Linked DNA regions of Notamacropus eugenii. The protein of the gene in region 2 binds, or shares a complex with, the protein of the main gene of each other region. Links are inferred from orthologs where the notes say so. Each region holds a gene or a part of one and is shown on either strand. Other genes may lie near its edges.

What was found. The genes of interacting proteins can lie anywhere in the genome.
Region 1: the proteins of MALT1 (region 2) and BCL10 are in contact, whole or in part, in a cryo-EM structure (PDB 6GK2), measured with the Homo sapiens proteins. The link is inferred for Notamacropus eugenii from reciprocal best matches to the Homo sapiens genes MALT1 and BCL10. Residues at the interface, in NP_006776.1 of Homo sapiens: Asp46, Gln47, Ala48, Pro49, Trp54, Arg55, Leu74, Glu75, Ser78, Leu79, Val81, Leu82, Glu83, Pro84, Glu85, Gly86, Pro88; in NP_003912.1 of Homo sapiens: Leu13, Lys17, Val83, Arg87, Asn93, Gln97, Thr100, Leu104, Arg107, Asn108, Leu111.

The regions. Positions count from the first base shown.
Region 1 is NC_092873.1:494,610,839-494,621,051, forward strand, and holds the start of BCL10 (B-cell lymphoma/leukemia 10), read right to left. Parts: upstream 4,797-10,213; 5' UTR 4,422-4,796; coding exon 4,365-4,421; intron 3,064-4,364; exon of another isoform or gene 2,898-3,063; intron 1-2,897. UniProt on the Homo sapiens protein: Plays a key role in both adaptive and innate immune signaling by bridging CARD domain-containing proteins to immune activation.
Region 2 is NC_092875.1:431,331,315-431,341,412, forward strand, and holds the start of MALT1 (mucosa-associated lymphoid tissue lymphoma translocation protein 1), read right to left. Parts: upstream 4,618-10,098; 5' UTR 4,465-4,617; coding exon 4,247-4,464; intron 1-4,246. UniProt on the Homo sapiens protein: Protease that enhances BCL10-induced activation: acts via formation of CBM complexes that channel adaptive and innate immune signaling downstream of CARD domain-containing proteins (CARD9, CARD11 and CARD14) to activate NF-kappa-B and MAP kinase p38 pathways which stimulate expression of genes encoding pro-inflammatory cytokines and chemokines.

The DNA.
Region 1 (10,213 bases), on a different chromosome or scaffold from region 2:
TGAGTTCCTTGGGGGAAAATGTTTGGGTTTTCTTTTGGCTTCTGTAACCTGACAGCCTAGCCTTCCAAGGTGTTAGAGAAATTTTTGCTGAATTGAATTCCCTCACCTTACATCCCTCTTCTATGTCCAATTAATTCTACTTATTCTGATGATGCCACATTCTCTCTCACCCCTTTTGACTTCCATCATCCACTCCCTTAAATAGGAGCTAATAAATTCAGATGACTACCAAAACAGAATTCTGTAAGACATTCAAGCAGGTAAAAGAATCTCATCAGAAGTACCCAGACTCAGCATGCCATTCGCCTGCAAAGGGAACACACACCCTATAGGAAACACCAAACAGAAAAGCAAGACAGAAGACAGTCTTGATACCATTTGGGTTTATTTTTTTCATCAATGACTTATCTCCCTTACCTAGAGATGCTTTTATGATTACTGACAACACAGCTGTCAATTAACGACAAGCTTTGGCAAATTCTCTTATTTTTCCTGCTTACTGTATAAAGATCTAGGTGGCATCTGCAGCATTGGCTTCCCTGCCCATCACTCTTCCTTGGTTTATGAACAGACCTAACTAACTTCTAGCCTCAGTCAGTTTTGTCAATATACCAATAAGGGGGGCTTCAGGCTGACACAATCTGTCTAGACTAGGTGATACCATCTGTCCTGTCTGCCTGCCTGTCAGGGTGCCAACACAATTTGATAAAGGAGGCCACTTAACGCAGCTTCTTTGTTTTGATACCCACTTTAACTAGAATGAAAGGGAGCACAGAATTTTTTTTGGGGGGGGATGAGCTGCTTTGGAAATACACAGCAAATCCTTTTTACATAAAGATGAATTTCTTCTTCTGAAAGCCTAGAAGGCTCTCAGAACTGCTATTAATAAGAGGCAGAAAGCCATCTTTTATTCAAAATACAGTTTTTAAATCTACTAGCAGATTCTGTTTTATTTAACAATATACTAAACTACTGCTAGAGTTAAGTTTGCTTTTCTAGAAGAAAAAAATTTGAACTGGTAGTCCTGAGCCAAAATTCATGTGCTTCATTTTTTTCACAATGTTATGACTCATAACTTTCTGAAATACCTATGTGGGGGCTGCATTTAATACAACATTTTTTTACTGTTTTGAAACTTGTTTCAACTAAAGGAATTCAACTACTATATTTATCTCTAATTGCAGCTTTTCCTAAGAAAGTCCCAGTGGTAACAAGGTCACAGAAAATCTTATTTCAGTACTCAAGTTTTCTTAATTCAATGTGAAAAGAATTTTTTTAAGGTTATTAGAGTGGAAGATGCCACCAAGGCTGCAAATTTGTGTGACTGTGGTGCTCCTGACAGAAATAGGGAAGTTAGCAAGAGGGGGCGGAAAAGGTAATGAGTTCTGTTTTGGACATTTTACATTTTAGATGCCTAGAGAATACCAAGTTCAAAATGTCTAGTAGTCAGTTGCTTAAGTAGAAATAGAGAGAAAGGGAATGGATACATAAATTGGGGGGCCATTTGCAGAGATGATGACTGAACTCAAGGGGGCTAATGAGGTCACCAAGTAAGAGAAAATGAAGAGAGAGAAAAAAGAATCCAGGACAGTGGCTTTTAAGTAAACCCACAGTTAAGCGGTGAGACATAGATGACGATCCAGCAAAGGAGACTGAATACAGATCAGACAAGTAGAAGAGCCACCAAGAGAGTGCAATGTCAGGAGAACTCAGAGAGGAGAGAGCATCCTAGAGAGAAGCTCATCAACTGGGTCAAATGTTAGAGAAGTCAAGCAGGCTGACGACTGAGAAAAACCCATCGATTCCAAGTCCTGGTATAAAAAACTGGCTAAAAAAAATTCTATGAAACAATAATACTTCATTTAAAAATGAACACAAACAAAACTTGGACCACTCAACACCCTTTATATTGTTTGGCCTCATGCTACAATTATCTGTACATATGTTCCATCTCCCTGATTTACCTGTAGCTTCTCTGGGGTCTGGACTTATCTTCTAATCACCTATGCATTCCCCAAATAATGCTGTGCCAAGAGCTGGGGACAGTTTACATTTGTTGAAATATTTCACAGGGTTTTTATTGTTGTTGTTATTATCTGCAACATACAAACCACTATACCCTGATCACTCAATCTTGACCTGCACCTTGGCCCCTCCTGCTGGGGTCAAGGACAGCAGGGAACTATGCCAGAGAGGGAAGGGTCCAAGAGGATAATCACACTCAAGATTTGATTTTACGAAAGCTCTGAAAGAGAATGGTGTATTCACTGACAGTCTTGTATTAGTTAGCTGTATATCTACTTTATCTCAGCTACTAAACTGTGGGCCTCTGGGCCAGAGGTGGGGAACATGTGGGGCTCTCAAGTGCGGCCTTTTGACTTTGACCCTTAAAAGGATTTGTTCTGTGAACAGTCAAAGGGCCACACTTGAGGATCTAGGGAGCCACATGTGACCTTGAGGCCTCCCTGAAGGTTCCCCATCCATGCTGGTCTTTTATTCATCTGTGTACTCCCACTGACCTGGCAGACATTAATGCACAAACAAAAGGTCATATACCTAAGCTTCTAAAATATTCTGTGAATTTATTTTCCTTTTACAATATGACATAAAAGTCCAAGGGGCTGTAAGGAGTGGGAGATGCAGCAGACTGGACTAGATGAACTCTAAGCTCCTCTGCAGCTGTCAATTTATGATACTAATATGCTTAAAAATACAAACAGGCTTTCTAGAGTAATTCTATAGGCTCTAAATTCCAATCATTTCCTCCAAAAGGGACAGGTAATTCATGGTTATTTTCACAGTGAGTCAAAAGCGCTGAATCATACTTTGGACTTTAGACAAAATAGTTTAGTCTTGAAAGGAGAAACTAGAATTAACCTTTGTTCATTTTGTTCCAGGATTACTGGCATATCTGTTGAAAGGAAGCAAAGAGTAAGGGAAAGAACACTGAACAAGGTTCTCATCCTGAATCTGCCACTAACCAGTTATGCGACCTTGAGCAAGTCACCGCCACTACGGACCTCAATTTCCTAATCTGTCAAATTAAAACACATTTCAACAAACAATAAGTGTCTACTATGTGCCAGCTAAGCTATACTGCTGGAATACAGGAGCTCCCACCTAGCGGCAGAATTCCCTGATTTCAACGTTCAGATACTATATGAGGACCAGCCAGGTAGAATGCTGCCTAAGCTGTTTTTTTCATTTCTCAACAATAAGACGCAAAATGATGGATAATTATTACTCATTCTTAGACATCTTAGAGGGCGAGCACTTGCATGAAAAACAAAGGGAAACGTAAACATTAACTAGATTACATAATACATTTAATTATAACTAAGCATTAATATTTATGCTGCTTTATAACACCTATGAAAGAGAGGTCAGCTGTTGCATATTTTACACTTTACAGATACCAAATCATCATACTGATATTTTTGAGGCAACATTTGTATCCTCACTTGTGAGAACTCAACAGCTCTTCTTCCTCAGGCTAGAAAGACCAAAGGTCTCATTTAAATGGGTAGGAGTTTTCATTTTAGGGGAATTCCTAGTAGCAGCAGCTGGTTCTGCCTCTGGGGATAAAGGCCTTTCCCCATCTGGGACAGCCCGTGGGCGTTAGTAACTACTGCCACCACGGCAGGGACGGCCTTTTCATTTTCCATACCCATTCTCAGCCCCAGTTTAGAGACAGCTCCTGGAGCGTGGCGGGAACCTGGCCCTGGTAGGGCCATCAGGATCCCGGGAAGCACCAGGGCGGACGCAACCCTGGACACTAACTTGACAAAGAGCAGGGAAAGCGGGCGGCGCGGAGGACGGTGGGGCCCCGGAGGGTGGGTCTCAACTCCAGCCCTGCCACCCGTGTGACTGGGCCCGGGCTGGATGACCCGAGCTGGCCCACCTCCTCATCCTGAAAAAGAGAACGATGGCCGCTCCGGCCTCAGGACCCACCTCTCTGCAGTCCGTCCAGCTCTACGGCGCCGGTCATCACTACTCTATTAGATTCCTTCCCAGGTCCCTGGGCCTGACCAGACTCTAACGCCCTAAGGGGGCATGGACGCGGAAGGAAGTACTCATCGGGCCTACTCTGCTAAGTGTCCCACAAATACGTGCTCATTTATTATTCCCATTGTACAGTGGGGGAAACTGAGGCAGGCATTCAGTGCGTTGTCCAGCAAGGACGTGCCGGAATCACTACTTGAACTTAGGTCTTCCTGAGTCCGGGCCACCTCCTGGGGGGAGGTGTCCTTCTTGGGAGCGCACGGAAAACCCGGGACTTCCCCCGGCCCGGCTCCCCTGGGAGTTTCGGGGGCCTGGGGTATGCAGCTGCCCCGCCCAGCCCCGGCCCGGCCCCCGCCACTCACATCCTTCTTTACTTCGGCCATGTCCTCCTCGGTCAGCGCGGGCGCGGCGGGCTCCATGGCGGAGGCTCCAGAACTCAGGCCGCGCCGCCCCCAGGACTGAAGAGGCTCCGGACACCTCCCCGCCCCCCACCGGCGACCCAAGGGGTGAGAGGAGCCGAGAGAGCGGAGGGCTCGGGGGCCCAGGAGCGGAGCGGCAGCTTCCGGTTCCGGCCCCAACCCTACGCTGAGAGGGAGGAGGCTGCAGCGCCGACCGGACGAGCCCGAGCCGGGACTCCCGCCCCCAGCCGAGCTTGGGAACGAGACTGGAGCGCACAGCAGTCAATCCAACTCGAAGCGGTCCCGCCCCTTCCCGGAGGAAGCCATTGAGGCCTTCCCTTACACCCCGCCCCTCACGGGACGAGCCACGCCCCTCACGCTTCCTGTGCTGAGGTCAAGCCACGCCCCTTGCTAAAGACGCTCTCTCAGTTCCCCTTCCCCACCTCCCGTTTGATATGAACCACGCCCCTTGCGGAAACTGCGTTCCCTCCTCCCGCGGGATTCAAGCACAATTCAAACCACGCCCCCAACTAAAGCTCGCCTTACGTTCGCTGTCCCATGGGACTTAAGCTCCGCCCCCTCCCCTTAGTCGCTCGCTATCCCTAACGTCTCCGGATGCCAGCCACGCCCCTCTCCTATTATGGTCGACTCTAGACCCAAGTTGCAAACCTCGCCTCCTAGCGCTTCCCTACTCCCGCTAGACGCAAGCCACGCCCCTTCCCAAAGACAACCCAAGTATTCCCTAACCCCACCTCCCTACCACGGACACCCACTGTGGGGGAGGGACCTCAAACCACGCCCCCAAGAGGGCACCCAAGCTCCCTCCTCCCTCCTGAGGGATGCAGGCCACGCCCCTTCCGGAAGCCGCTCCCCATTCTTATCTCCCGCGGAATTCAGACCACGCCCCTCCCTTCTAGTCCAAACCTCCGCTCTCCTTGGCTCGGGCGCTCCCGGCTTTGTCCCACCGGAAGTTTAATCTTGTGAAACGATGATGGAGCGCCTTACTGTCATCAGACCAGAGCTGTGGCTTCTGGCCAATCAGCTTCCTCCTCTGTAAAGTGGAGATGCTCCCGCCCCTCCCTAGGGGCTCGTGCGGCCTTTCTAGTCTCCAAAGCTGGTGCAGCCAACGCTGGGTCTCAGGGATGGATGGATCGATTGATTCATTGATTTCCATTGATTGCACGCGTCTGTTCCACGGACTTTGGCCCCAACAAGAACGGCCTCCCGGAGGGGCTGCGATTTCCGGTCATTCGCTCGTTCTTCTCACGGGAGCGGCTCCGCCTCTCCCCGCAGCCCCCGGTGCCCGCGGCCCTCTGCTCCTCTCCTCCCGTGTTTTTTCTTTCTAAGAAGGTGTGGGGGTTTCATCCTCGCGGACCTCAGCACTCTCTCTGGTCACGGATCTCTGCGAGCACGCACCCGGAGGTCGTGCCAGTCTGGTCTTCTTTCCACGAGCCCACGGAAACGCGGGATCCTCTTTCCGTTAACAAGAGAGCGGTTCCGCTGGACCCCGGGTAAGAACGCCTGGCTCAGTTTAGGCTTTGAGCCCCGGCAGTCCCGTTTTCTGTGGCCGGACTCCGAGGAAGCGCACGGGATGCTTCGCGCAGCCCTCCCGCAGAACTCCTACATCTGCGGGTCTTCGAGGAGGATGGAAGCGCCGCTGCTGCTGTCCATGGTCCGTGGGAAAGGGAGCCCTTCCAGTGGGAAAGCAACGCCAGCCAGGGTCCGAGCCACAGCCGCAGCTGTCGCCAGCCCGGCCCGGCTCCTTCCTCAGGTCTCCGTCCGGGCCAGGCGGGGTCTCGGTCACTTCTCTAGCACTTAGCTCGGAGTTTATCTCAACTCTCTTGCCTGGGCTCCCGGAAAAAACTGGCAGCATTTCTCTTTCATCCCCAGTCTCAGCGGGCAGCAGCCAATTGGAAGGGCACCATTCGGTCTAACTAGAAAGGGAAACTGAGGCTCAGAGGAGTGAAATGCCTTGGAGGGAGTCAGCTCTAGATGGTAGAGAAGATAGGACAGACTCAAGTAAAAAACAAACACGGGGTGGTCTGAGAGAAGTACCAATATCTCCAATATCTCTGCCAAGAAAACTCCAAATGGGTCACAAAGTGTCAGACGAAGCTGAAAAGTACTCACTGGGGCAATGAGCCATTAAGGGGCTTCCTTTTGGTCAAGCAATTATTCTGTGTCAAAGACTCAGGGCTTCCTGATTCCAAGGCCAATTTTCTATTCCCTGCTCAACACTGTCTCTTATTAAATTTATACCTGTACTTCATTTGTGCATGACCTTGGTCCTCCTCACACATGAGCCCACAGAAAAGCTATTGCAGGTTCAAAGTACTTTGTAGATTTGCATCTACTCAGACTCATGGCTTGTAAGCACCCAGCAATGTGCAACATTGTTTCAGAGCAAACGACATTTCATCAAACTAAGTGACCATAAAGATCCTCTCACCAGAACACACAGGGCTATACTCTCCGACAAGTTAGCATACCGCCGGTGTGGGAGGGAAAACGCACAGGGACGGTGCATAACCAGGGCAATCCAAACCTCTCATGCTACAGAGCCTCTGGTAACATCATGGAGATGACTTCTGGGCTGATTGCTCACTGATGAACACTCACCTTGAGCTGCTTTTGCTCTCAGCTGCCAGGTGTGGCTTATTGGTTGAGCAGAAATAGCTTTTGGTAGGATTTCAACTCTGAAAAGCTCATAGTTTAAGGCTACAGACTTTATAAGTGCAGGCAGCCCTACCCATATGGACCCATCTAGTTAGACAGAAAGAAAAGTCCTCATACCCTTTGTCTTTTGAGCTCTTTTTTTTTTTTTTGCTGCTTGTGTTCTTTTTGTACAAACTCTTATTTGACTGAAAGTGAAATTCTTTTCACCTTCCTTCCATTCCCATAATTTCTATGTAAATTACATGGGTTTATGTAAATTAGAGGGGCTAAAGGGGAAGCAACTGAAAGGGGTTGGTGACTTTTGTCTTATTTCTCCTTATCCTAGCAGTTAAATTGTTGCTTTTCCTATATTCACAAAGTAATAAGTCTAAAGGGGAAAAGTCCTGAAATACTTACATGGCACTGTTTCATTTATTTTCTATCTCTCCTTGTCTACTGCCTTATTTCCTACTGCCTATTGCAGACGTGCTCATGTCTCTTCCATCCTGAAGACAAAAGCAAACCAAACCTCTGACTTTATTCTTCTGCCCCCATTAGGCCTATATTCTGCCCTTCATAGCTAACCTTCTCAAAAGACCATCTATAATAGGCACTTCCACCTTTTATCCTCTGACTCTTTGTCTACCTCTTACAATCTGACTTCCAACCTTATCTTTCCACTGAAATGACTCTCTAAAGTTACTAATAATTATCCACTGGCCTTTTCTCAATCCTCATTCTCTTTGCCCTCTCTGCAGCTTTTGACATTGTTAATCACTCTCTCCTCTCTAGGTTTTTGAGACACCACTCTCTGCTAGTTCTCTTCCTACCCATTTGACTGTACTCTATCCACTGTATCACCTAGCTGCCTCAAATATTTATTAAGTGCTTATGGTCAAGCATTGTGCCAAGAGTTGGGGATATGAAGAAGGGCAAACAATATATATGCAGTATGAGTAGGAGGTAATGTTAGAGGAAAGATGTTAGCAGTGGCAGGTGGGAAAGGACTGCATTCTAGGCTTGGAGAGTAGCTAATAAAATGTTCAGTTGGGAGATAGAGCATCATGTCTGATGAACATCAAGAAAGCTGGTATTACTAGGTCATAGAATAAAGGAAGGGAGTAAAGTGTGTAGGAAAGAGCCTTGTTATAAAGGTCTTTAGATGTTAAGAGGATTTTATATTTATATTCACTCCTAGAGCTAATAGGGAACCATTGGAGATTATTGAGTAGGAAGGGGAAGGGACCAAAGGTGAAATGGTCACCAAAACCACTTTGGTGCCTGAGTGGAAGATGGATTTAAAACAGGGAGACCAACCAAAAGGCTACTGTCAAAGTTCAGGTCTAAGGTGATGAGGGGTCTGTTCCTGAGAGACTGGGGAGTATACAAGAGATGTAAAGTAAAATTGACAGGCCTTAACAACAGATTGGCTATGTGGGTGGGGTGAAATGGAATGGGGAACTGAAGATGACACTAAGGCGACCGAGTAGGATAGTGGTGACCTTGATAGTAGTAAGAAAGTTAGGAAGAGAGGAGGGTTTGGGAGTGGACTAAGATAATGAGTTCAGTTTTGGACATGTTGAGTCTTAAGATATCTATGGAACATCCACCTGGAGATTTCCATTGGGGAATTGGTGATGCGAGACTGGAGCTCAGATGACAGGGCTGAATATATAACCTGGGAATCACCTACATAGAGTTGATAATGAACCCATGGTAGTTGATGAAGTAACCAAATGAGATACTATAGAGGGAGAAGAGAAGAAACTCTTGGACAGAACCTTAGGAGACAACCACAATTATTGGGTGTAATCTGGATGAAGATTCAGCAAAAAAGAATGAGAAAGAGGAGTCAGGCAGAAGAGAACAATGTCATGAATACCTAAAAGAGAGAGAATAAGCAGTAGAAAAGAGTGATTGACAATGTCAAAGACTGAATATGGTTCAAAAAGAATGAGGATCAAAAAAAGCTATTAAATTTGGTAAATAAGACTTGATCCTTGGTTACTTTGGAGTGTAGTTTCAGTTGAATGGCCGTGTCAGAAACTTGACTCAGAAACCTCATCACCTGCCATTTAGACTATCAATTAATTAATTAGTATCCTTGTCTCCAGTTTCGTCCTTCTTCATTCCTTTTTCCAAGACAAAATAATCTTCCTAAAACACATTGCAAAAGATTTTAGAGAAAGAATTGAGAAGAGAGATGACTTTTTCAAGTTACCTAGCCATGAAAGGAAGGAGTGGTCTATATCTCTCCTCTCCTTCATGGCTAAATACCTTAAAAAAGCCATAATAGTCAGTGGGGATGATCAAATCAAAGGAGGATTTTTGAAACAGAACCCTATCTTGCAACAAAATAGGTAGACTCGAAGCAGATCAATTTATTGGCCAAATCTCTTTCTTATCTTAACTGTATACTATTTCTCTGCTGAGGACTTTGAAACATCCTCCACATTCAGTCCTTTAAATGATCTTTTAAACTACTAAGTCCTATGTCCTTTTCTTAGTTCTCGTCTTTGACCTCTGTAGCTTTTAATACAATTTCCTCTCCTTCCTCCTCGTTGATACTCTCTTTGTTTTTGGCTTTCCTGATACTGCTCTCTCTGGAGTCTCCTACCTGTCTGTTCTCTCATCTATCTCCTATTCTGTCAAGTTTTCTCCTGGGTCCTCTTCTTTCCTTTCTTTACATTCTCTCACCTGATGAATGCATGGTCTCTATTATCATCTTTTGTGGATGATTTCCAAGTTTATCTTTCCAAGCTTTATCTCTCTATCTCTCCTGAACTTCAGACCCACACCTGTAGCTGCCTTAACATCTCACTACCACCCCAATTTCAATGTGTATAAAGCAAACCATATATCCTCACCTTCTCCAAACTCCTTTCCTTTTGCTTCTGCTTTCAGAATGTCAACTAGACTGTTCCCCTCTCTTTATGGACTTAGTTGCCTTGGGCAATTATAACAATCTGTTTTATACATCTCTCCCTCCAGTTTCCTCCTTCTCCAATTCCTTTTTCACCCAGTTGACAAAATAATCTTCCTAAAACCACATTACTCAAAAATCTTATGGGAGCTTAGAACTTGTGGTTCTATGAAAAGGTAAATAAGTGGCAATGTTAACTTAATCCTTTTGTTCTATTATGCTTTTGTTAATTTGG
Region 2 (10,098 bases):
CAGTAACCTAACTGGTTTCTTTGACTCCAATCTCTCTCACTGCAGTCCATCCTTCACTCAGCTCCAAGTTGATTTTTCTAAAGTGTAGGTCTGACCACACTGCCTCCTTACTCAATGAGGTCCCATGACCTCCCATTACCTTCAGAATCAAAGATAAACTCTTCTGTTTGGCATTTAAAGCTCTTCAAATTCTGTCTCCTTCCTATCTAATTTCTTATACTTTACTTTCCCCTTCATAATCTACATTCTGGCTATACTGCCCTTCCTGCAGTTCCTCACACAAAGTACTCCCATCTCTGTGCCTTTTCAATGGCTGTCCCCATGCTTGCAATGCTCTTCCTCAGCCTCTCCTCTCCTGGCTTCCATTAAGACTCAATTAAAATTCCACCTTCTGCAGGGTGCCTTTCCTAGTCCTCCATACACTGTTAGGGCCTGTACATATCTTGTAAATACAATTTTATTCATTTTTCTCCTCCATGGAGGACAGGAACCATCATTTAGCCTTTCATTGTATCCCTAGTGTTTAACGTAGTGCCTGGCACATAGTAAATTCTTAATAAATGCTTGTTGATTGATTACTTTTCTTGTCTTCCAGTATGGGTTTTTTTAAGACTTAACTCAAATTCCACCTTTTGTAGAAGATTTTTCCTGCCACCCCAGCTGCTAATGCCTTCCTTTCTCAGATTACTTTCTACCTATGCTATACAAGTGTTCCAAAAATCTTAGTGCAGTTTAAAGCTTTAATAACTTAAACTTTAAAGTTTTATAAGGCACTAAATTTTTTGGCATGCTCTTATCACATATGTATTTAAGTACTTACATGTTGTCTCCCTCAATATAAGGTGAGCTCCATGAGGGAAGGGCCTTTCATTGTTTTTCTTTACATCCACAGCACTTAATATAGTTGCTTAATAAATGCTTGTCAACTGACATCCCAGAATCTGCATAGGAACCTTCTCATTCAAAGTAATAATTGCCCGACTCTAGATTTTGTAAAAAAGGCATGGGTGGGACTAGATGGTGTCTGAGGTCCCTTCCAAATCTGAAATTTTGTGATTCTTAAGTTGATGTTCAACATAACATTGAGGGAAAGATGTAATCAAAAAGCATTTATTAAGTTCCTTCTCTAACCTTTAGGTGCTATACAAAACAGAAGAAAAATAATACATGGTACTGCATTCTAGGACATTATAATCCAGTTGTGAAGACAAAACCACAGCACACAAGGGGGAAAGAAGCAACCAGTGCAACAGTATATAATTAAATGTTACAGAGATTCAGAGAGGAAGATTAAGTGGGGACTACAGTATGGGGTGGGAGGAAGCTTTGATTTTAGAGCCAGAAGACTCAAATCCCAGCTGAGTCACTGATACCTCTATGACCTTGGGCTTGCACTTGACCTCTCTGGGCTACAGTTCCCTCATCTATAAAGTGAGAGGGTTGGATCAGATGACCTCTGAGGTGTCTTCCAGTACCAAACTATGATCTTATGGTCTATAAAACAAAGAGGTTGGACAATGTGATTTTGAAAGCTCTAATTCTATGACCCTATGATCTTAAGATTTCATGGAAATTTGAGCCTTGAACGTGACTTTGAGACAGGCAGGTAGTAGTTGGAAAAGCAGATGGGATAAAGGATGATGAGTCTCAGAAACAGGACATAAACCCAGGTCTTCCTAGTTCCAAGGCCAGCAATTCACCCAGTATATCATACCTTTCATACTACTTAATATTCCCCTCAAAAAACATGGTACAGGAATAAGTATATAAGTAAGGAATTAGCAATAAGAGACCCTGAGGTTGAAATCAGGTTTTGCAACTTATAAACTGTGTAATATTGCCAAGTTACTTAACCTTTCTAGGCCTCAGTTTCCTTATTTGTAACATGAGGAGGCTAGACTAGATGATGTCTGAGCCTCTTTCAGTTCCAAATATGTGATTCTGCAACCTTCTTATCTTTTTTATTCCATTCTTTCTATGTGAAATGTCTCCCTGCTTATCTATGCCTGTCAAAATTCTAGCCAACCTTCAAATCACAACTTAAGTCAACTAAGAATACTTACTGATCCCATCTCCTCTGAACTACTATATCTCTATGTTTGCACAACCCCTGGCACTTTTCATATACTATCTTATTATAGTATGGTGCAATGGAAAGTGCACTGGAGGTTTTCAGAAGAAGAAAGCATAGCTATTGATAGTCACATGAAAAAATGCTCTAAATCACTAATAATTAAAACAACTGTGAGGTAGCATATCACAACTATCAGACTGGCTAAGATGATGGAGGAGGAAAGTGAGAGATGCTAGAGGGGATGTGGGAAAATAGGTACACTAATGCACTGTTAGTGGAGCAGAGAGCTGATCTAACTATTGTAGAAAACAGTTTGGCACTATGCCCAAAGAACTGTAAAACTGTGCATAACCTTTGACCCAACAATACTGCTAGTAGGTCTCTATGCTAAGATATTAAATAAAAAGGGACAAGATCCCACATGTGGAGAAATATTTACAGAAGTTCTTTTTGTGATGCCAAAAAAATGGAAATGGGGGAAGCCCATCAGTTATAAGATGACTGAACAGTTATGGTATATGAATTTGATGGAATACTATAATGCTGTAATAAATGCTCTAAGAATGCTGTATGATGAAGAGGTCAGTTTTAGAAAAACCTGGGAAGACTTATATGAACTGATATAAAGAGAAGTGAGCAGAACTAGGAGAACACTGTACACAGTATTGGCAACACTGTAACGATAATCAACCGCAAAAGACTTAGCTACTCCGATCAAGTTCCAAAGGGCTCATGATGAAAAATGCTATCTACCTACAGATGGAGAACTGAGGGACTAGTACAGATTGAAGCATCCTTTATCTCTTTTTCTTGCTTCTTTTTTCCACCACAACATGGCTAAAGTGGGAATGTTTTGCAAAACTTCATATGTATAATCAGTAACATATTTCTTGTCTTCTTAATGGGTGGGAGAGGGGCTGAAAGGAGGGATATAATTTGGAACTGAAAATAAAAATTAAAAAGCAAAAAAGAAAACAAAAAAAAAAGTGTAGTGGACTTAAGAGGCAGAGGTCCTGGGTTTGAATCTCAGATTATCCTATTTATTACCTCTATGACCTCAGGCAAATCAATTTATCTTTCTGAGCCACATCTATAAAATGAAACTGTTGGACTAAACTTTCAACTCTAGGTCTATGACCCTGTATTTTGATATTTTGTATCTCTTCATCCACCAGTCATTGAATCTGCTATTTGTCCTCTATATATCTTGTTTGGATACAATTGTTTTCACATAGTCTTCCCAATTAGACTGAGTTCCTTTGAGAGCAAGGTCACCTTTTGCCTTTCTTTGTATCTTCAGCGTTTAACAGAACCTGGCACATAAGAATAGGCAAAATGAATTACTGATGGACTGAATTAATACCAGTCCAGTACTCCTGTTCCTCCCTCGACAAACACTATTTCCTTCTAATCATTCTGAGTCGATCACTTTTTTACCCTTCTTTTTCAAGTTTTCTCACGCGCCTTCCTTTTTATTGAAATCGTCTGTTTCTCTCAATGTCTTTTAACCTCACGTGAAAGTGACATTTCTTGCCCTTTAACCTTTCCCACCTACAGTATTTCTCTTTCTCTGTTCTCTTGGCTCTGAGCATTTTCTCCACCCCGACTATGGGAAAGCAGACTTAAAGCTTCCTCAAAGTCCCAGCTAAAATCCCACCTTCTACAGGAAGCCTTCCCCAACTGCTATTTCCTACTTAGCCTGCATGGAGCTTGGTGTGTGTGCCTGTGGGGAGGAGGTGGTTGCATGTTGTCTCTCCCATTAGACTGTAAGCATCTTGGGGGCAGGGTAGTCTGGTGGATGAAACGGTACGAAATATAGAGTCAGACCTAGAGTTGAAAGTTTAGTCCAACAGTTTCATTTTATAGATGAGGTTCAGAAAGATAAAGTTTTTTGCCTGAGGTCCTAGAAGTAATAAATACGATAATCTGAGAGTCGAAGCCCCTTGGCACGCAGCAGGAGCTTAATCAACGTTTACCGAACCAAACCGGTCCCACTTCGCCCCCTTCTTCGGCATCGGGGCGGGGGAGGGTCCTCCACACCCCGAGGTGCCTCGCCACCTCTCGCCCTCGTGCCGCACGCTCCCGATCGCTCCCTCACACTTGCAGCTCAAGCCCCCGGGCTCCAGCTCCGGCGCTCCCTCCCCTTCCCTCCGGCCCCGCCCCCCCGGACACCTGAGCCTGTAGCGCCCGCGGCTCCCCGCGAGCTCCGCCAGCTTCTTCCAGCCCCTGCCCTCCGCGGCTCGGTCCAGGGCGTCGCTGAGGCCCCGAAGCGCGGGCTCCCGCAGCCGGTTAATGTTGACAGCCCCCGGGGACGGGGACGCGGTGGCGGTGGGCGCCGGGGAGGGCGCCGGCGGCGAGGCCGGCAGCGTGTGCCCCCACAGCGACGACATGTCCCCCTCTCCCGCTTCCAGGCCCGTCACGCCGCACGCCTCGGAGCCACCTTCCGCTCCCCGTCCTCGGCTCGCTTCTCTTTCCCAGGGCCGGGGGGCGGGGGCGGAAGGACACGTCAGAGGGCGTCTCACCGCACACCGCGGAGGAAGCTGCTTCTCTCCCGGGAGAGAGAGACAGGTTCTCCCCGCTCCCCGCCCCCTCCCCGGGCCCTGGGCCAGCTGGCGAGGCTCGCGCCGGGGGAGCCCATGGCCTACGGGGGCGCGCGCGCGTGCGTGCGTGGGTCTCGCGCCTCACCCGGTTGGAGGCTGGCGAGGCAAGTCCCCCGCCGTTCTCCCCGCCCCTTCTGCCAGTCTGACGCGCCCACGGCGGGCTCTTTAAAGCCAAATAAAGCCTACGGAAAAAGCGGAGGCCGAGGCTGGGGGCGGCGCGGACAGGGACGGGGAGGGGGCCTTGGGCGGGGGAGGGAGCCGCCGCCCCGTATTGAAAGGAGCGGCGCGGGCAAGGGCCGTCGTCCTGGTCCGCTTGGCACCGGAGGAGGAAGACACGACTAGCAACATGGGAAGATCTTGCCCCAGTCGGCGGAAAAGCTTCGTAACCGTTTCCCAAAAACTGAACGGGCCGCCTCCACGGGCTCTGCCTTTCTCCTGAGTAGACGTGGTCAAGCACAGGTCCGCCCACCCCTCCTGGGACTCGCCTAGTCGGGGTTCGAACTGAAGAGGCATGGGAGGTGCTTCGTCCATCCTTATTGACCCCGTGGACTTGACGTTGGGGTTTCTTGGCAAAGATTCCGGATTGGTTTGCCATTTCCTTCTTCGTTCCAGGTTTTTTACGGATGAGGACCTGAGGCAAATAGGGGTTAAGTGACTTAACCTTGGTCACACAACTAGTAACTGTGTGTGGATTTAACTCCCATCTTCCCTACTGCTGCTGCTCTATCCACTACACCACCTAGCTGCTCCTATGAGGTGGTACAATTTAATAAAAATCAAAGTATCCCATCATTCCCCCCTTGAATGAATATGGACTAAAGTCTTGGGGTAAGGGGCAAAGGTCTCTTCTTCTCTAGCTATTTCCTGCTGAAACGGGATGTAGAGCTGTCCCTGCCCCAAGGGGTCCGATTTGGGAGGTCAGTTCTTTAGCTGGCATCTAGAGCTTGGTTGATGCCAGGTTCAGGGGTGACACATCACAGTCATGGACAGGGGGTGATATCCAGCTTAAGGGTCAAGCATTTGCAGTTGGAGGGTACTAAGCCAGCAGGAAACAAATTTAGCAAACAAGTTTAACAGACAAAAAGAAACAAAAAGAAGCAGGGTAGGTAGGGTCAGCCATGCTTCTGGAGTTCATGAACCCACTATCGTAGCCTCATTCACTGTAGAATATATGAGTTAAGGTAATTTGGTAATCATCTTTTCCTGAGTAAACAACAGTTACAGTGTTATCTTTCCTGTGTACTATAATTTCTGCAGCCTTTGGAACATCATCTGGCTTCTGTTTTACCCATATTTTAGCTCCCAATTTTATTTTTTCAGTAGAACCCAACCCTTCAGTTTCTCTGCTAATTATTTTAGAAGGAGAGTCAGTTTTCACAAGGGATATTGTTTCACAAGGAGTAATAATCACTTGAACTATTCTATCAGTTTTATAAAATTGTGTGGGTTCTTCACCTAAATTTTGGATTGTCACAATAATTTCACCTTGATAATTAGAATCTATCACTCCAGCCAACACATGTTTTTGTCAGGCTGGTAATTCTGATTTAGGTAATATCTTTCCAAAATGATTTTTAGGGATTCTCATACATATTCCAGTAGAGATTTTTCTTATTTCTTTTGCATCTAACCTAAAGTCCTCTAAACAATGTAAATCATACCCTCCCAAACCAGGTGTCCCTGGATACAGTGCTGGCCTCACAATCCAATATGCAATATTTGGGATCTTATGTATTTGCAGATTTGGGGTCATCATTCTGGCTAGAGGTGTACTTCTTCCCAATGGTCTATTATTCAAATTACATAAAACAGTGAATAAATTTTCTTTCCAATGTTGATAAGAATTATTAGAACTTAACTTCCTTAACTGTTCTTTCAATAATCCATTCATTCTTTCAATTAACCCAGATGCTTGTGGATAATATGGAATATGATATGTCTATTCTATATTGTTTAATACACAATATCTCTTCATTTTATTACCTTTGAAATGTGACCCATTGTCACTTTGGATCTGCATTGGGGTTCCATAACAGACTTATGATATCAAGAGTTTTATAGATGTTTTTCTCAATTGCATTCTTATAGGGACAAGCCACTAGTACACCTGAATAATTGTCAACACAAGTGCATATAAACTGGCATCCTTTATCTTGGGGTAGGGGTCCAGTATAATCTATTTGCCAAATTTGGGCTGGTACTTTTCCCCTCACTATTTCTTCGGTTACTATCCAAGGAACAGTTTGTTCCTTTTCCAATTGACATATATCACATTCCTCTGCTTCTTGTTTTAACAATGAATGAGTGATACTAATACCTCAGTCTTGTCCAGTGGTGTGTGGCCTGGACTCCTAAATGTCTGGCTGCTTGATGGACCCATTTTGCTAGTATTAGATCATCATTTGGTGTCAGAGTGGGGACAGTATGTTGAATACCAATCTTTGCTGGTTGATCAGCATGTACATCGTACTCACGTTCTGGTGTGGTGAGGGCCATGTGACATCTTCATGAAAAACTGACAAATTAGTAACCAAAGACATGTCCCATATATCCTTCCACAATTCTTTACTCTAGATTTGTTTGCCATGTATTTCCCAATTTTTCCTTTTCCACGTGCTCATCCATGTGGCTAATGCATCAGCTCCCACCCATGAATCAGTGAATATATGACACTATCCTTATCATTCTGTTTTGATAGCCTGATGTACTGCCATAAGTTCAGCATATTGACTACTTCCACCTATCCTAGTACTTTCCAAAGTCCACCTAGTACATGGGTTATAGGCTGCTACTTTCCATTGTCTTTTGTGGCCCAAATATTTTGCTGTCCCATCAATAAATCATGCATGTCTCTTTTGTTTTTCAGATAATTCATCATATCCCTGATTCCATTTTACCAAGGACTGTACCAAATGTTGCTTTGGTTCAGGAGGTATATCATTTCTCCTAGGATCTATTTTTGCTACAGATTCATATAAAGCAGAAACTACATTTTTTCCTGTTTTAGATCTATTTTGAATATGCCACTCCCATTTAATTATGCTAGCCTCTTACGCATGTCCAATTCTGTGAGAAGCTGGGGTACTCATTACCCAGGTCATAATCGGGATTCCAGGCCTTAATATTACCTCATGGTCCAAAGTCAAGTGTTCAGTCTCTGCCAAAGCCCAATATGCAGCTAACAACTTGCTTTTCAAAAGAGGTATATTGAATTCCAGATGAAGGGAGTTTCCTAGACCAAAATCCTAAGGTACATATTGTCTTTGTTATTTTTGCCATAAACTCTGGTTAGCATATTCATCCTGTACAGTCACTTATAATTTCACTGCCACTTTGCATAGTCCATAAATCTAGGGCCAATTGTAGAGCAGCCTTTGCTTCTTCAAAAGCTTTACTCTGCTCAAATCCCCAATCAAATTCATGTGTTTTTCCTAGTAATTTTATATAAGGGTTTCAAATTTGTCCTTGATGTGGTATATGATGTCGCCAATATTCAAATAATCTTATAAAATTTTGGCCCTCTTTCTTATTGATGGGAATAGGAAAATCCTGAATCTTTTGTTGGGCTTGCAGGAGATTATCTCACAGCCCCTTATTCTATAGTATACTCTAAAATTTATGGTTTGAGCTGACCCTCGAATCTTTGCAGGGTTAATTTTTCACCCTTTGCTTTTCATATGCTCAGTTAAAAGTGTCAAACTCTTCTCCACTTCTTTTACATTTTTTCCCCATATCATAGTATCATCAATGTAGTAGGTAAGCTGTACATCAGGTAGCTCTAATTCATCCAAATGTTCATGCACAATACTATGACAAATAGTGATGCTATGTAGATATCTTTGTGGCAAGCATGTAAAAGTATATTGTCAGTTATGCCAAGTGAAAGTAAATTAGTCCCATTGTTTACAATCTATTGGGATAGTAAAGAAAGTATTGGCTAAATCGATAAGTGCATACCAATTCCCATCATATTTCTGGGTCCTTTCTATTAAGGTAACGGTATCTGGAACAGCAGCATACAAGGGAAGAGTCACCTTATTCATTGTCTATAATCCACTGTCATCCTCCACATCCCATCTGACTTTTGTACTTGCCAGATAAATTATTCCATCGAGTGGTTGTAGGGACTAACACTCGTGCCTCAACGTATTGCTTTATAGTATTGGTAATTTCACCTTGCCCACTTGGCACATGATACTACTTTAAGGTAATTACTTCAAAAGGTTCAGGTAGGTGGTGGAGTAGAAGGACTGACCTGTAGAAGCTTTCCCCCCATAGCCCATAAAATGCCTATAAAAATGACTAAACAAATTCTAGAGCAGCACAAGTTACAAACTGACAGGGAAACAGATTTCCAGCCCAAGACAGCTTGGAAGGCCAATAGAAAAGGTCTATCGCACCCCAGGATCAGAGCAGAGTGCAGCCCAGCCTTAGCCATCTGGCATGGACAGGACTGAAGCAGGCTTTGAGGCATGGAATTATGGGTAGCAGCTGTGGTTCCCACATTTCTCAACCCACAAACACCAAAAATAGCTTCAAATATCAGTAAGAAAGCTCTTTCACCTAGGTAAGAGGAGAGCCCTAGCCTCAGGCCCAGGCAGTGATAGCATTCACTTATGGAGCCCTCTGCCTAAAGACTCTGAGGGAATCAAATTACTGATCTGGATCTCAGCTCTGAGTGGTGGTCCTGGAGTGAGGAGAAGTGCTGACTGGCGTGGTGGAGCTGGTGGTGGCTGTGGAGAGGGAATCCTACTCACAGTTCCAGGGCAGAAAAGAGTGCTCACAGACTAGAGCACAGGCCAGGAGAGGAGTAAACTCCTTTTCCTTGATTGTGGCACCTTGGAGGAACTGAGAATTTACAGATCCTTAGAGTATACCCTCCACTTGACAAAGGACTCAAAAATCAAGTAATTGACTAGAAAAATGCCCTATAAAGGGAAAAAATAAGACTATAGAAGGTTACTTTCTTGGTGAAAAGGTATTTTCTTCCATCGTTTTGGAAGAGGAAGAACAAAGCATACCATCAGAGGAAAACATAAAAGTCAAGACTTCTACATCCAAAATCTCCAAAAAAAAAAAAAAAATGCAATGTTTTCAGACCATGGAAGAGCTCGAGAAGGATTTTTAAAACCAAATAAGTGAGGTGGAGGAAAAATTGGGAAGAGAAATGAGAGCAATGCAAGAAAATCATGAAAAGCAAGTCAACAGTTTGATAAAAGAGACCCCCCCCAAAATGCTGAAGAAAACAACACCTTTAAAAATGGAATAGCCCAAATAGCAAAAGAGGTCCAAAAAGCCAATGAGGAGAAGAATGCTTTAAAAAGTAGAATGGGCCAAATAGAAAAGGAGGTTCAAAAACTCACTGAAGAAAATAGTTCTTTAAAAATTAGAATGGAGCAGATGGAAGCTAATGACTTTATGAGA